Linked DNA regions of Mus musculus: region 2 is reported to be linked to region 1. Evidence: microRNA targets listed by miRTarBase, many of them from high-throughput screens and not tested one by one. Region 1 holds a microRNA gene; the other region holds the end of a gene's coding sequence.
The links. The annotated mature microRNA mmu-miR-363-5p reads CAGGUGGAACACGAUGCAAUUU and lies in region 1 at 4,930-4,951, shown strand. An mRNA with a match to its seed (bases 2 to 7 or 8) in the 3' UTR can be bound and repressed. Matches are read on the target gene's strand: a 7mer-m8 pairs with bases 2 to 8, a 7mer-A1 pairs with bases 2 to 7 and ends in A, and an 8mer does both.

Region 1 (7,340 bases):
TATTTTCTCTAGCTGAGGAACTCGATCCAGGCATTCTATATAGTGCAAACTTAAAAACAAAGGAACAACAACAAAAACAAGAAAATATCCTGGAAAAGTTTACCTAAAATACCTTATTCGGGGTATTGTTCTGACTTTAGAAGGGAGGGGTGGAGAGGGTTGAAAACTGGGGTGGGGGTGGGAAGACCATGGGAGGATAGTTTGTTTAATGAACTGTTAAAATTTGGAAATTCTTAAGTGGGGTCCCTCACCACGGCATTGAAACCATCCTCTTAATTTCATTTTAGGCAGGCTGCATCTACTTGTACTCATCTCATAGGATATTTTCATCTCTTCCAGCTCTCTTCTGTCTCTTAACCAAGACGCGTAGTCCGGGTGACTGTTGGTAGTGAGGTTTCTTTGGGAAAATATTCCAAAATCGGGGTAATGGGTTTTCTCATTCTGATGCTCAAGGGAATGTGTTTACTCGTTCCCAGCGCTCCCACTGCAGCTGCAGGGCACAATTAATTATGTTAATAATTTGCGAGAAGCGGATGTAACTCCCCAACTCCTCCCCCCCGGGGGGGTGACAAAAGGGGAAGGAGACATCCTGGGGTCCGACCACGTGATATTATCTTCGCGCCACTTTTACAACCCTCCCCCAGGTTTTGCTTGAGCTCATTGAGGTTTTTTTTTTTTTTAAATCCTGCTTTAATACAATGTCTCTTAAAAGAGGGTCTGAGATATGTTTCCACACCTCTCCATCACTAGCTACCTTTAAAGGTCCAAAGTTGGATTGCAGTCCATGCAACTCTCACAAGCGAGATCTGATTGGATATTAAATTTGGGCTTGCATAGTTTCCAGAAAGCATCAAACAGATGCTCTGGCATACGGTGGGAGGTCTGTTTGTGCGGGTGTTTGAAAGTGGAAGGCAGCCCACCTGTAGGAGTAACACACATTGGAGTAACGAGGGTGCTTTGCATCACTGAGACCTGAGCTGAGCCTGCAATTCTGCTTGAGCTCCACCGCTGGCCAGGGAGCAGGAGACAAGTCTTAGGAGTCTTTCAGTCCTTAGTAATCCGCTCGCCTGAACCCCTACTGTGCACCAGATTGAAACTCACGTGGTGCTCTTGTTCCCTTTTGAGCTTTGAACTGCCACAATCACCCAAGGCAACAGTGTTAGGGAGTAAGGGACCTGTCTTCGTTTCTGAGCCCCAGCTCATCCCTTCCAGTGTCCCCTCTCCTGATAGTGCGTGCTCAGTAACTTCAGGTTTATTTGTTATCTGGTCAATCACTCTTTCCACCATCTAACTCACCAAATATCTATCCTCTTGGACCCGTGCCCTCCAACAAAGCAGAGAAAGTATAGTATGGTTATCCTTTTTTGCCCCATAACCTCCTAGTATGCTTAATTTTGTATTGACGCTAAATCATAATTTTAGTTTTGTACTTGGGATGTGCTTTTAAACAGCCTTCTCTCAAATGAGTCTTAGCTGTGGAAGGGGGAAAAGCAAGGTAATTGGCATCTGTGCGTGCACCCAAGGGACATTACCATTCATAATGCCTGCTAGGAAACTGATTTAAAGGGTAAAGGTGGCGTTCAGCAAGTGTGAAACTTCAGCAGTAGCTTCACATGCCAGAACTGAAAACTTTCACATGGGCAGAGTGGATATGCCGGGTATGTATTTCTTCTCTCCTACAGACTTTCGGGACACTTTCAATCTAGCTGTGAGGTAGTGCGCATGCGCGCACTCGTTGGGACGTGGGGACACCTGGGTCCCACAACTGCTTGGGCCTCGTAGCCTATCTCCAGAGGGGGATGGGACAAGCGCTTCAGGAGCCTGACCGGACAAGGTAGTAATGAGTGCGCCATTCTGGGCAGGCGACTGTGGCACTGGTTTAGACTGGCATCCCATGGGTGCTTGGATTAAGGAAGGACTCTGGTGTTGGGGACAGAAGGGCAAGGCTGAGGGAGCGGGTCCTGTGTGTCACTGGGGCACCGTGGGCTTTGGCCTGGGCGGTGTGGGGGTTCCATTTCCTAATTCCTGTGTGGGCCGAGTGGGCGGGGGCGGGCTTTCCCCCCTAGGCTATTAAAGGCGAAGGGCGGGCTTTTCCCAGGGATCGGGCTTTGGGACGCAGCTCGAGGTGACGGACCGCTGCCACAGGCTCGTGTGCACAAGTGGTGCTGCGCGGACACTTTGGGGGTTAGGTGTGCGTGGGCCGCCGGGGCGCGTTTCCTGCACGTGGCTCCTCGCCGCCCTCCCTCCTCCACCAGCTAGGAGAGCAGAGGGCCAGGAGCTCTAGGAAGATGCGTGCGGTTCCCTGATCCTGGCAGGCAGGACAGCAGCGGGATGGTCGCGCGCGCCACCTGCCAGGGCGGGTCACTGGCAGATCCCCTACGCGCTTGTTCTGGATGACTGGACCAGGAGATGCGTACCTCCGCGGGCGCAGCTGTGATCCCAGAGAGTTAACTAAGGTGGGAGGGGATGGAGCTGGCAAGACTTGAGAAAAGCAAAGTACCTGAGTGTAGTTGAGGGGTGCCAGGCAACTCGTGAGAAAAGGACTCTCCCTTGTTGCTCTGAAGGTTTCTGGAGAACTTGTGGGTGGTCAAATGCCAGGGTGCACGTGGGGTGTGGGGCGGGAGGACTCCCGACCTACCTTGGTTTCCCTCCCACCAACCCGAGAATGGAGGGAGAGGCTTAAGCTTGGCGCGTTTTGGGGGCTTTGAATGGAGAACTCCGTTTCCCATAATGCTTTGTTTCTTTCTGTTTAATTTTGGTGGCCGCTAAGGTGTCTTGAAGACCTAAGCGCGTGGCATGACTGGCTGGAGCACACCCTGCGTTCCCAGGAGGTTCACAGATCTCTACTGGAGCCGCTGCTGAAGATGCGGGAATAGACCAGAGAAAATCCCGAAATGGTAAAAGACTGGGTCCTCTTTGCAATTTTAGAAGTTGTACAGCGACTTTCTAGTATATATGATGGAGAGCAGATGTGTTAAAGAAAGGTATTAGCTAGAAGGAGCTTTCTCTGGAGGGCTGAGGTATGGTTTTGCGAAGTTGAGTCAGGTTTTGTAATATATTTTTAGTGGAGGCAAAAATCTCTAGTTGTAGGAACCCAGTTCAAGAAGAAAAGTATAATAAGCCAATACTTGCACTATAGGAAGCAGATTTCATATTTACTTCAAAAGTTTTGCTAATTTATATTTAAAATGTTTTAAGAACTATCTTAGTCACTAAGTGGCTTCGAAAAGTTCCAACATTTAAAATATCCTTTCTCATTGAACACATTTCAAGTTTTGTGTCCCTGAAGTTTATTGGTGTCCCCCCATCAACACAAACATTCCATCATGGGAGGGAGGGAGCTCGTGACCCCTCAGACTGTCCTCTGCAGCATTTTCCTGGGTAAGATACACACTTGGAAATGAGAGAGGTTTTTCCTGTGGAAGATAATGACATGAAGCCAAAGAGCTAATCTGACTTCTTTAGGTTTAATGGAGAAAATGGGTCCATAAATGTTTAAACAGAAGTAGAGCCCTTTGAAATAGATGAAAATGTGACATCTCTAGGCCATCTGTGCGGTATGTGAAGAGTGTAAAACTGTTTCTTAAAGCGGCTCTGAAATTTCTATCATTTTCTCTTAATGGGCTGGGGGCAGGGATGCTTCATGTAATCAAACATAGAGACCTTCCGAGTGGCTCCCCAAAGCTCTGGATGAGCTCAAGACGTCAGTACTCACCCTAATGTTATTTATTTATTTTTTTGCTTACATCTTTTCCTGGGCTCTTGCCTCTTAGAAAACCATGGTGGATATTACAGCTCTGCAAATTTTCTGGGATGCGAATCTCAAATTTCCTTAGACGGAGAGGGAGTCCAAAATCCTCTTACTCTTAAGAGTCAGACATTCTGAGATTGCCAGTGTTATTCATGTTTAAGTCTGTGTAAATAATTGAGCTTATTAATGTTTGAAGTAACACAACCCCATTTGCACTCTTAACGGAAGGCAAACTTGTTTTAGAAATAGTAACTCACAGTTCACTTACTTGCTGTGTGTGTGTGTGTGTGTTTATCCAGGTGAGTCTGCAGATCTGGCAAAGAAGAGTTCGTGGAAGACTTCAAGGTTACACTCCTGGAGTATGCCTTGGCCATGTCAAAGTGCTAACAGTGCAGGTAGCTTTTTGAGTTCTACTGCAGTGCCAGCACTTCTTACATTACCATGGTGATTTAATCAGAGGCCGCTGAGTCCCCTGGTTTCTGCATAGTTAGATTGTGGATGTTTTTGAGCTGCTCCTTGTAATGTGTCTCTTGTGTTAAGGTGCATCTAGTGCTGTTAGTGAAGCAGCTTACAATCTACTGCCCTAAATGCCCCTTCTCGCACAGGCTACTTCTTACCTTGCATTTGAAAAGCATATCTTGAGAAATGATTTGAACGGCACAAGTTTCAAAGGCTCTTTCAGTGTTTCGCCGAGAAACAGATGGCGGAGACTGTAGTATACAGTTGTGTAGAAGAACAAGCTCGGATCCTAGTAGTGCCAAAGTGCTCATAGTGCAGGTAGTTTTTATACCACTCTACTGCAGTGTGAGCACTTCTAGTACTCCTGGATCAACCAAGGTCTTGTTGAAGCAACTACAGCGCAAGGACATTGCTACTTACGATTAGTTTTGCAGATTTGCAGTTCAGCGTATATGTGAATATATGGCTGTGCAAATCCATGCAAAACTGATTGTGGGAATGTGTACCTTTCTGCATCGTAATGGACACCTTTATGCACATCTTCAGCATCCATGCCCATTCATCCACAGGTGGGGATTGGTGGCATTACTTGTGTTAGATATAAAGTATTGCACTTGTCCCGGCCTGAGGAAGAAAGAGGGTTTTTAATCGTCTTTTAGTTTCTGAGTATTGTAAGTTATGTTAGACTGTAATTATGAAATGAACTGTTTTGCTGTTATCAGGTGGAACACGATGCAATTTTGGTTGGTGTAATAGGAGGAAAATTGCACGGTATCCATCTGTAAACCGCAGGACCTATGTGGACAGCCGTCTATCAGTGCTATAGTAAGATTGTAAAATCCTTTAGCTAGTCATTGCTTTGAACACATTTGGAGTGGATTTTTTTTTTTTTTTTTTGGTTTTTCAAGACAGAGTTTCTCTGTATAGCCCTGGCTGTCCTGGAACTCACTCAGGGTGGCCTCGAACTCAGAAATCTGCCTGCCTCTGCCTCCCAAGTGCTGGGATCAAAGGCGTGCGCCACCACGCCCAGCTTGGAGTCTAATTTTTTAAAACTACATATTTTTAAATATATTTGAAATCCTGACATTTTGATTGCACTGAATGTAAACAAACCTGAAATTTGCAAAATAAAGCTGATATATAAGTCTGAAAAAAAATGGGTTTCTTTTTTCTTTTTTAAAAGATTCTATTTATTTATTTATTTATTTATTTATTATATGACAAGTACACTGTAGCTGTCTCCATAGACACCAGAAGGTGGCATCAGACCCCATTCCAGATGGTTGTGAGCCACCATGTGGTTGCTGGGATTTGAACTCAGTACCGCTGGAAGAGCAGTCAGTGCTCTTAACCACTGAGCCATCTCTCCAGCCTGGGGCTCTCTTTTTTTTCTCTCTTTTTTTTTATTAGGTATTTTCCTCGTTTACATTTCCAATGCTATCCCAAAAGTCCCCCATACCCACCCACCCCCACTCCCCTACCCACCCACTCCCCCTTTTTGGCCCTGGCGTTCCCCTGTACTGGGGCATATAAAGTTTGCAAGTCCAAAGGGCCTCTCTTTCCAGTGATGGCTGACTAGGCCATCTTTTGATACATATGCAGCTAGAGACAAGAGCTCCGGGGTACTGGTTAGTTCATATTGTTGTTCCACCTATAGGGTTGCAGATCCCTTTAGCTCCTTGGGTACTTTCTCTAGCTCCTCCATTGGGGACCCTGTGATCCATCCAATAGCTGACTGTGATCATCCACTTCTGTGTTTGCTAGGCCCCAGCATAGTCTCACAAGAGACAGCTATATCTGGGTCCTTTCAGGAAAATCTTGCTAGTGTATGCAATGGTGTCAGCGTTTGGAAGCTGATTATGGGATGGATCCCTGGATATGGCAATGGCTCTCTTTTTAAATTAGCAATACTATTGGCTTTTCTAAAATAGCGTCTTGGTATGTAGCTCTGGTTAGCTTGGAACTCAATTTGTAAACTAGGCTAGCCTTGAACTTGCGGAGATCTGTGTGTTTCTGCTTCTAGAATGCTGAGATTAAAGGTAGGCACCCCTCCACTCCTAGACTTCCAGCATTTACATACATTTATCTATCTATCTATCTATCTATCTATCTATCTATCTATCTATCTATCTATCTACTTATTTAGTGTGTGTGTCATGTGGTGATTTGAGAACAACTGTAGGGAGCTAGTCATGTGGGTCATGGACATACATCTTAGATTTCTTAGGCCCGATGGCAAGTGCCCTTCCCCCACTGAGCTGAAAACAAATTTTATAGGGTATGTCTTGAAGGAACATTTGAATATAACTGGAATTTAAGTTTGCGTTGAGTCTTTGGTTTTATCACTACTGAAAACCCTGCCAGTCCCATCTCCAGAGAGTGACTGTCATCAGGTGAGCCCTCAGGATTTGCCTTTGTAACCCAGTCTCAGGTGCTGATGGTGCTCGCCCAAAGAACTATAGGTTAAAAAAAAAAAAACGCCCGGTTCTATTTTAAGTTTCAAATTCATAAAGTTGAAAGGACTCAGGCACATTTTTTACCCCACTTTCTCATTCTGTTTCATGTGTTAATGTTAACACTGCCCTGTCTTTGGTAAGTGGAAAAACTAGGTAGGTATGTGTTGGTTTTACCTATCTGAACATTGAGTTCTCATCAGAAGGGAGAGGTATCACTATGTGTCATTCTTTGTGCCTTGGAATTTCCCAACTTTGAAAGCCTTTTATTACTTTTTGGGGACCTCATTACATAGGTTCAATTTAGTTAGAATTTTTTTACTGAATTATACTTCACCTTTGAGCTAGTTCCCTAAGCTTCCATTTCATTAGGGAAAATACAGTGATAACATTGGTCCTACACCAGTGAGGTGGGGCTTCTGTTCTCCTTGGGAGGTGAAGAGTGGTCAAGAACATGGATTTTAACTGCTGTGATGACATGAAATCTTAATGAAAAGAGATGGAGGCTAGTAAATTCTCTATTAAGTATGTAGGATTTTCTTAAGTCACTAATGTTTGAAGTAATTACAGAAACAAAATAATGAGATACTTCCTGTGCTATGACTTAGTATTTTATTGGTGCCTAATTGTAGTTAAGTTTGATGTGGTAGCAAAGACCTCCTTCCCTTCTAATAAAG
Region 2 (7,340 bases), not on the chromosome of region 1:
CAGACTTCCGTGGTGAGGCAAGAGCTATGGGAGGAGCTGTGGATGGAGTAGAGAGGACCCAACAGACATAGCTTCTATAGCTGGCTTTGCAGCGCCTCATTGGTCTCTTGTCTTCATCTTTGCTGATCTTCACTTCATTGAGAAAGACACAGCAGAGAACTTCTCCTTAAGTTCCTGCTGGTCCTGGTCCCTCCTGCTGGCTCATGCCAACTTGCCTGAGGCCTGGTTGTCTCTCCTAGGCCGTGCCACCGCTGCTGATTCATGTTTGCTATCCCAACTCTACTGAACTGGACCGCTGGTGTACATTCTGACAAGCAGATGGAAGCTGCTCCAAAGAACTATTTCTAAACAGGTCCACTTCCCCAGTATCCTAATAACCTTTCTTTTCCATACCTCTGGTGAGTGGTGGGCTAGAAGGGAGGTTAAAGTATTTAAGAACCCTTATTTTATTATTATCATTTTTTTTCTAGACATGGCTTCTCTGTATAGTCCTGGCTGTCATGGAACTCACTCTGTAGACCAGGTTGGCCTCAAACTCAGAAATCTGCCTGTCTCTGCCTCCTAAGTGCTGGGATTAAAGACGTGTGTCACCACTGCCTGGCTTTTAAGAACCCTTATTAAAAGTAACTTTAAAGAAATTTAAGGGGCTGGAGAGATGGCTCAGTGGTTAAGAGCACTGATTGCTCTTCCAGAGGTCCCAAGTTCAATTTCCAGCAACCATCTGTAATGAGATCTGATGCCCTCTTCTGGAGTATCTGAAGACAGCTACAGTGTACTTACATATAATAATAAATAAATCTTTTTTTTTTTTTAACTAAGCCGGGCTAGCGAGATGGCTCAGCAGAGAGCGGGGTTGATTACAGCGAACAGGGTTGACCTGAATGAGCAGGGTGGATTGGAGCAAGCAGAGGTCCTGAAATTCAATTCCCAACAACCACATGAAGGCTCACAGCCATCTGTACAGCTATAGTGTACTCACATACATTAAATAAATAAATAAATAATAAATCTGTACAGCTACAGTGTACTCACATACATTAAATAAATAAATAAATCTTTTTAAAAAATTTAAGCCAACATGAGCATGTGTTTACCATTTTTGTATTTTTTTAGGCCAAGTACCAGCCTAGGCTAGCACACAGCATCCTAAGTACCTGAGGAAGAGCCTGATTTTGTGATTCTCCTGTCTAAACCTCCCGAATGCTAGGACAAGGCATACTTCATCACACCCAGCAGGTTACCATCTTGTTGTTCCTTTTGGAGTTTGCTGAGGAAACTGAGACTAAGGGAGATGGGATGCCCTGCTTGGAGATTCACAGGCCTGCTCTGAGGTCCCAGAGCCAAGCTGACCCTCGGGCGCCTCACCAAACCCATTCCTGAGCTGGTGCCAAGGCTGAAAAGAGAAACTGGCCCAGGGCCCAGACCTGCTGGTGCTGCAGCCTGGGGTGAGGGACCCTTGCCTGGGAATCTGCAAGGCTCAAAGAGCTATTTATAGGCCCACTCTGGGATTTAGAAGGTCCCCATCTCCAGCCTGGAAGTCCCTGTCTGTTACTGGCACCCTGAAGTTAGCTTCAGGAGATGAGGTGAGGGGGCAGCAGAGTGGCTCAGAGGTCACGTGGGTGGATGGAAGCTCCTAGACAACCAGGTCTCAGGGATAGTGCCCCTCTAATTGTACAGGAATATAGCCAAGGTCATAGTGGATAGTCATACACAGTGCCACCAACCACCTGAGGAGGATTGGGAGTTTATGACTATTTTCTTGACTGCATAGTAAATCTGAGGCCATCCTGGGCTACGGAAAATCCTGTCTCATTAAATAAACAAATACATAAATAAATAGAAAAGCCAAGTGTAGTGATGTATGACTTTAATCTCAACACTTGCAAGGCAGACACAGGTGGATCTCTGTGAGTTTGAGACCGGCCACACAGTGATCTCCAGGACAGTCAGGGCTACAGAGAGAGACCTTGTCTTGAAAACAAAAACAAAAACAAACAAAACAAAACAAAACCCCAAAAAGCCCCAAAGAACTAAAAAAAAAAACAAACAAAAAAAAAACAGTCCAGGGTTGGGAATGGGCTAGATAGACCCAGTCCTCCATGTGACACCCTCCTGCTTCAGGGCTTGGAGGGGGACGGGAAGGAGGCGGCTCTCAGGCTCCCTGACTCAGGGATGAATGCACCATGTTGGCTACTTCACTGGGAACTCAGAGCTACTAATTCCCTGGTGAAACAGGAGGCTCTTTCATGCCCAGGCGCCAGTGGGGTGAGGAGGCGGGAAGAGAGTAGGGAGCTGGCAGTGTCCCAGGGGGCCAGGCAGCCTCATGCCAGGGCCAGAAGCAATACAGGAAGGATGGCGGCTGGGATTCTATGCAGTCTCTTCAGGCACCACAGCCACCTTTTTTGTGTTGAGTGCCATAGAGGTAACACAGCCAGCCATTGGCAGGGTAGTGATGAGTCCATGCCTAGAGACAGACTTGTCTATGAGCCCTAGTGTCCCAAGTGTCATTGTTACTGGGCGTCAACCCAAAGGGCCTACTTTTCACAGGCAGGAAGTTGAGCTCAGAGGTCAAAGGTTTGTCTGAGAACACATAGCCAAACGTTTAATGACGCATGGCCTTGGAAAACAGCTAGGCTGAAGCTGGATGGCCTGGCAAGGAAGGCCCTGCATTTCTGGGCTGGCAGGGCATCCCTCCTGATGTGACCCAGTTACCCTGCCAGGCCTGCTTCCTGGGGCGGACTTAGGAGACACCGGTGGGATGCTAAGGAACCCTCTGGCGCTCACAGAAAGAGGAAAGATCAGAGGCCATTCAACCCAGAGGCTGCTCTGTCTTGGGAGTCTTCATTCAGAGAGCAGGCTGGGGTTCCACCCTCTCCCCAAAGCTGCTGCAGACCAGTGGGAAGTGGCTCCCTAGCTCTCATTCAAACCTGTTGTCTGTGTCACCTGATTCTATGTTTTTGCTAATCCCTGGCCTGGAACTCTTTCTCTTCCAGAAAGCCCTTCCTTTAGAAAGTCTCCCTGCTTCTTCAGTCTCTTTGTTCCTGTGACTCATCCCTGAACCCATGATGTTTGGGGTGTCTATGTCTGGTTTTGTTTGCTCCCACTGGGACACACTCCTCTGCATCCTCTGAAATCCACCTTACACCATTCTTTGACCAAGTCTTCCATAACATGTTAGGAAAGCATTCGCTGAGAGACTGATTTATCCTTCGCGCTGGTGATGGGACCCAGTGCCTTGCACTTTCTGGGCAGCCTGCTATTGAGCTCCTTAGCTGAGGAGATGGCTCAGTTGGTAAAGTAGCTGACCCTGATGACTCAAATGCAATCCCCAGGACCCATGCGGTGAAAGGAGAAAGCTAACTCCTACACGTTATGCTCTAACTTCCACATATTAATAAAAGTAATACAAAAAGTAGACTCTGGAAAATGTTTGAGAGCACTTCCTGTTCTCGCAGAGGACCTACAGTCGGTTTCCAGCAGCCTCACTGGAAGTGGTGGTACAGGAGATCCCATGTTCTCTTCTGGATGGACAATTACCAGACATGTATAGTATACAAACACTCAAGCAAAACACTCATTACACATTAAAGTGTTTTTAATTAAAAAATATACTTTAATCCCAATACGGGGCGTGAAGGTGCATGCCTTTAATCCCAGGGCTCAGGAGGCAGAGGCAGGAGGATTTCTGGGAGTCTAGGCGGCCATTACCTGCGAGGCAAATTCCGGGCAGCCAAATCTACACGAGACCCTGTCTCAAAAATATATTAGGCAGATCTGCTACTGTCCATGTTAGCATGAAACGTAAGCCCTGCAGGAGATGGATTTAGGGTCGGAGCAGGACGCAAGGGCTGGGGGTGACTGATGCACCCAGTAGCACGGCCTCTTCAACATTTATTTTGGCCTCTTTGGAAGGCAATGGGGTGCAGGGCTCCCAAGCTGCATCCACGGCGAGCAAGGCCTTCTGCAGGTAGACATGATCACAGGAAGGCCATGGGAACATTTTGTAGCCACTAGGTGTGTAGTTCAACAGAACCAGAAACCTCAGTGTGAGGGCCCTTTAAGAGGCGAAGGGGAGGTGCCATAAACCCCGCCCCGGCCCCGCGAACGGAACAGTGTCTGTGTAGCACTGCGCGTGCGCTATCCGCACGCGGTTCCGGGTTCGTAGATCTGCAGAGCCGCTGGGGCTCGGTTGGTTTAGAAAGCTGCTTTTAGTGTTCCTCCGGTTCCCAGATCGCCCACCTTGTCATATAGAGGTGGCCGGGGGTAGGGAGTGTGGCCGCTAGATCAAGTTGGGAGTGGCAGCGCCGGGCTTCGAACTCGCGTTCCGCGAGTCATCCTAGAACTGTGATGACTCAGTCTTTGGTTTGTCCGGACACTGTGAGCAGGTGAGACTCAGTGTAGATCTGGGCGCGGGGGCGGAAGAACTGGGAGCTGAGTTGTGGAGACGAGGCCCAGATGGCAGCTAGCTGGGGTCCAGAATCAGGAACCTGGAGCAGCCTGGGGGCGGAGCCAGGTGGTAGAGTCCCGTGGTTTAAGTGGTGTGTTGCCTGGTGCATCTGTTCCCTGGCTGGGGGTGCGGTCTGGTAGTTAAGTTCCTGGCTGTTGGTAGCAGAGTTCTTGGGTGTGGGGCCGGCCGGCCTGGTGGGTGGCTCACAGCAAGGATGTCCAAGTGTTGAGGCCCCTAACCTGGTCCTGTCCTGCAGGGTCAGTTCTGTGCTCAATCGCAACAGCCGGCAATTTGGAAAGAAACATCTTTTTGACCAGGATGAAGAGACGTGCTGGAACTCTGACCAGGTGAGGTGCTTCTATACCCCTTCATTCCAAGTGTAGGGGTGTAGAAGATGCAAGGTTACAGGGTGCCTTGAGATCTCTGGGGAGACTAGAAAGCACAGTGTGCTTGTACCCTTCCTGTGCTGGCCGTGGCAGTGACACTTGAAAGATGAACAGACAAAAAACAAACAAACAAAAAAGGCGGGCAGTGGTGGCACACGCCTTTAATCCCAGCACTTGGGAGGCAGAGGCAGGTGGATCTCTGAGTTCGAGGCCAGCCTGGTCTACAAAGTGAGTTCCAGGACAGCCAGAGCTACACAGAGAAACCCTGTCTTGGGGAAAAAAAAAAGAAAGAAAGATGAACAGAACATCATAGGGCCCTAACCTTGCAGTTACCAAGTGCCTCAGTTTATCCCTCTGCTTCCAGGGCCCCTCCCAGTGGGTGTCACTCGAGTTTCCCCAGTGTGTTCAGATCACACAGCTGCAGGTGCAGTTCCAGGGTGGCTTCTCCAGTCGCCACAGCTGCCTGGAAGGTACAAGAAAGCTGAGAGGTGGGGTGTCCACAGGGTTCCCTGGATTCTTAGCCCATTTCTCCATTGCAGGTTCACGGGGTGGGGAGGCACTCAGCAAGATTGTAGATTTCTACCCTGAGGACACCAATGCCCTTCAGATATCCTGCCTGTCTTGTGGTGGGAGGGATCTGGTTTTCTACAAGCTTCAGGTCTTTGGGTGTGGTGGTAATGGCACTGGGGAGGCTGGGGCAGGAGGATCCAGAATGCCAGGCCAGCTTGGACCAGACCCTGTCTCAAAAGAATCAAAGCTTTGACCTCCTCCGCAGGAGTAGGAACTGCTTCTCTGTGCTTTAGTGCCCTGGAGGGGCAGCAGGAAGATCAGGAGTTCAAGGTCAGCCTCAACTACAGTTTGAGGCCAGCCTGGGTTACCTGAGACCCCCATATTTAAAAGAAAAAGAAAAAAAGGTGCTATTGATTTCTTGCTGGGTATGAGAATCAAGAGCCTTTAGTCAGTGGCCCATCGGGTGGTCTCTGGACTGGGAAGGTGGGGCCTGATGGGTCAGAGATAAAACCACCATTTCCTTGACTGCAAGAAGTCACACCTTCTCCATCCCCACAATGGAGGTGGACCGACTGAAGTTGACTTTTGAGGACACCACCGACTTTTTTGGCCGTGTAGTCATCTACCACCTGCGGGTGCTGGGTGAGAAGGCAGGGTGAGAAGCGGCTATTCTTCCAGGAAGCCCCCCTGGGAGGCACCCTGAAGACCTTCAAGTTCTGCACAGATTTATTGGTTCCTGTTGCGGAGGGCTCTTCCCACCACTGTCCAGGAGCTGCCTTTCAAGCCAGTTGTGGGCTGACTGTCCCTGAGTGCCTGGGTTCCCAGCAGGCTGTCTTCACTCGGGGTCCACAGGCCCCAGGGTGCTCTGGAACAATCTGAGGATGTGGCTCTCCATCACCTGTTGCACTGTGGGAGGAGGTGGGAGGAGGGGTGAGCTGGGGGAGCCGGGAAGAAGGGACTGAAGAAGATGCTCAGCCTCTGATGTAAACAGGAGGCCGTGAGCAGGAAACTGTCCAGCCAAGTGCTTTTCTGCTTTTCTGTTCTTGCTGGGCTGGGCTCACTACCTTGAGAATAGGTTGCTTTAAGGCAAGGTTTGCCTGTCTCCCTTCACTCCTGTATCCCACCCACCCTCCGAATTGTAGCTCTCTCTGCCTCCAGAACCATGAGTCCAAATAAAATGTTAAAAAAAACCAAACACCCCATTTGTGGTACTCTGTTACAGCAACAGGAATGGAAGTCTGGGATGCCCACCCCACCACCAAGAGGAACAATGTGTGGATGTGGGTGGAGGTGATAACCAAGACTACGCCCACCCTGGGCCTGGATGGTGCTGTTTGTATCTCCGAGTGTCTGTGTCCCCCAGAGTGTGTCTGAGTGTCTGTGTCCTCCAGAATGTGTCTGAGTGTCTGTGTGCTCCCAGAGTGTCTCTTGAGTGTCTTTGTCCCCCCAGAGTGTGCCTGAGTGTCTGTGTCCCCCAGAGTGTCTCTGAGTGTCTGTGTCTCCCTGGGGCAGTGTTCTCTTGTCATGCACTGGTGTCCCTGCTGCAACCTGGGTGCTAAGGGCCGTGTTTCCTACCAGGATCTAGCACCCATGGGGAACACCCCGTGTACAGCCTTTGTGGCCACCCCATCCACAGCCCCTCAGCTTGCCACAGCATCCCAAGCCCACCTTTGCGGTATCCCAGGGCCACTGCGAGATCCATTGGGGTGTAGCCAGAGTCAGCCTCTGTGGTGAGGTCAGCACCCCGGGCTGTGAAGAGGAATGGGCACTCAGAGATGAGCTCATGGCAGGGCTTGGGGACTGAAGGCTGGAGTGACTCTTCCCTCCCCACCCCAGTACAACTACAGGTCTGCCTTTTGTCCATTGACACAGCACAGTGGCCAGACTTCAGGAGCCCCTACCCAAAGAACAGGGTTTAGAGTCTCTGAGGCATGGAGGGTAGGAGGCTCATCATGGCTGACAGGATCCAACACAAACCCCCTCACACTACCCTGTCT

Region 2: the mRNA of Rfxank is a reported target of mmu-miR-363-5p. Seed matches in the 3' UTR shown: 7mer-m8 at 5,905-5,911 and 7mer-m8 at 5,023-5,029.

What each region holds. Positions count from the first base shown.
Region 1 is chrX:52,739,351-52,746,690 of GRCm38, reverse strand. Mir363 (microRNA 363) reads left to right here and starts at 4,924; the gene lies at 4,924-4,998. It overlaps Mir92-2 (microRNA 92-2), which reads left to right and starts at 4,763; the gene lies at 4,763-4,853. It overlaps Mir19b-2 (microRNA 19b-2), which reads left to right and starts at 4,625; the gene lies at 4,625-4,708. It overlaps Mir20b (microRNA 20b), which reads left to right and starts at 4,499; the gene lies at 4,499-4,578. It also overlaps Mir18b, Mir106a and Kis2.
Region 2 is chr8:70,127,215-70,134,554 of GRCm38, forward strand. It overlaps Rfxank (regulatory factor X-associated ankyrin-containing protein), which reads right to left. Exons shown (of 9, transcript NM_011266.2): 8 at 7,012-7,092; 9 at 3,592-6,249. The coding sequence ends at 6,179. It overlaps Nr2c2ap (nuclear receptor 2C2-associated protein), which reads left to right and starts at 4,113. Exons shown (of 5, transcript NM_001025586.2): 1 at 4,113-4,385; 2 at 4,704-4,794; 3 at 5,198-5,303; 4 at 5,373-5,440; 5 at 5,883-6,538. The coding sequence starts at 4,348. The coding sequence ends at 6,002.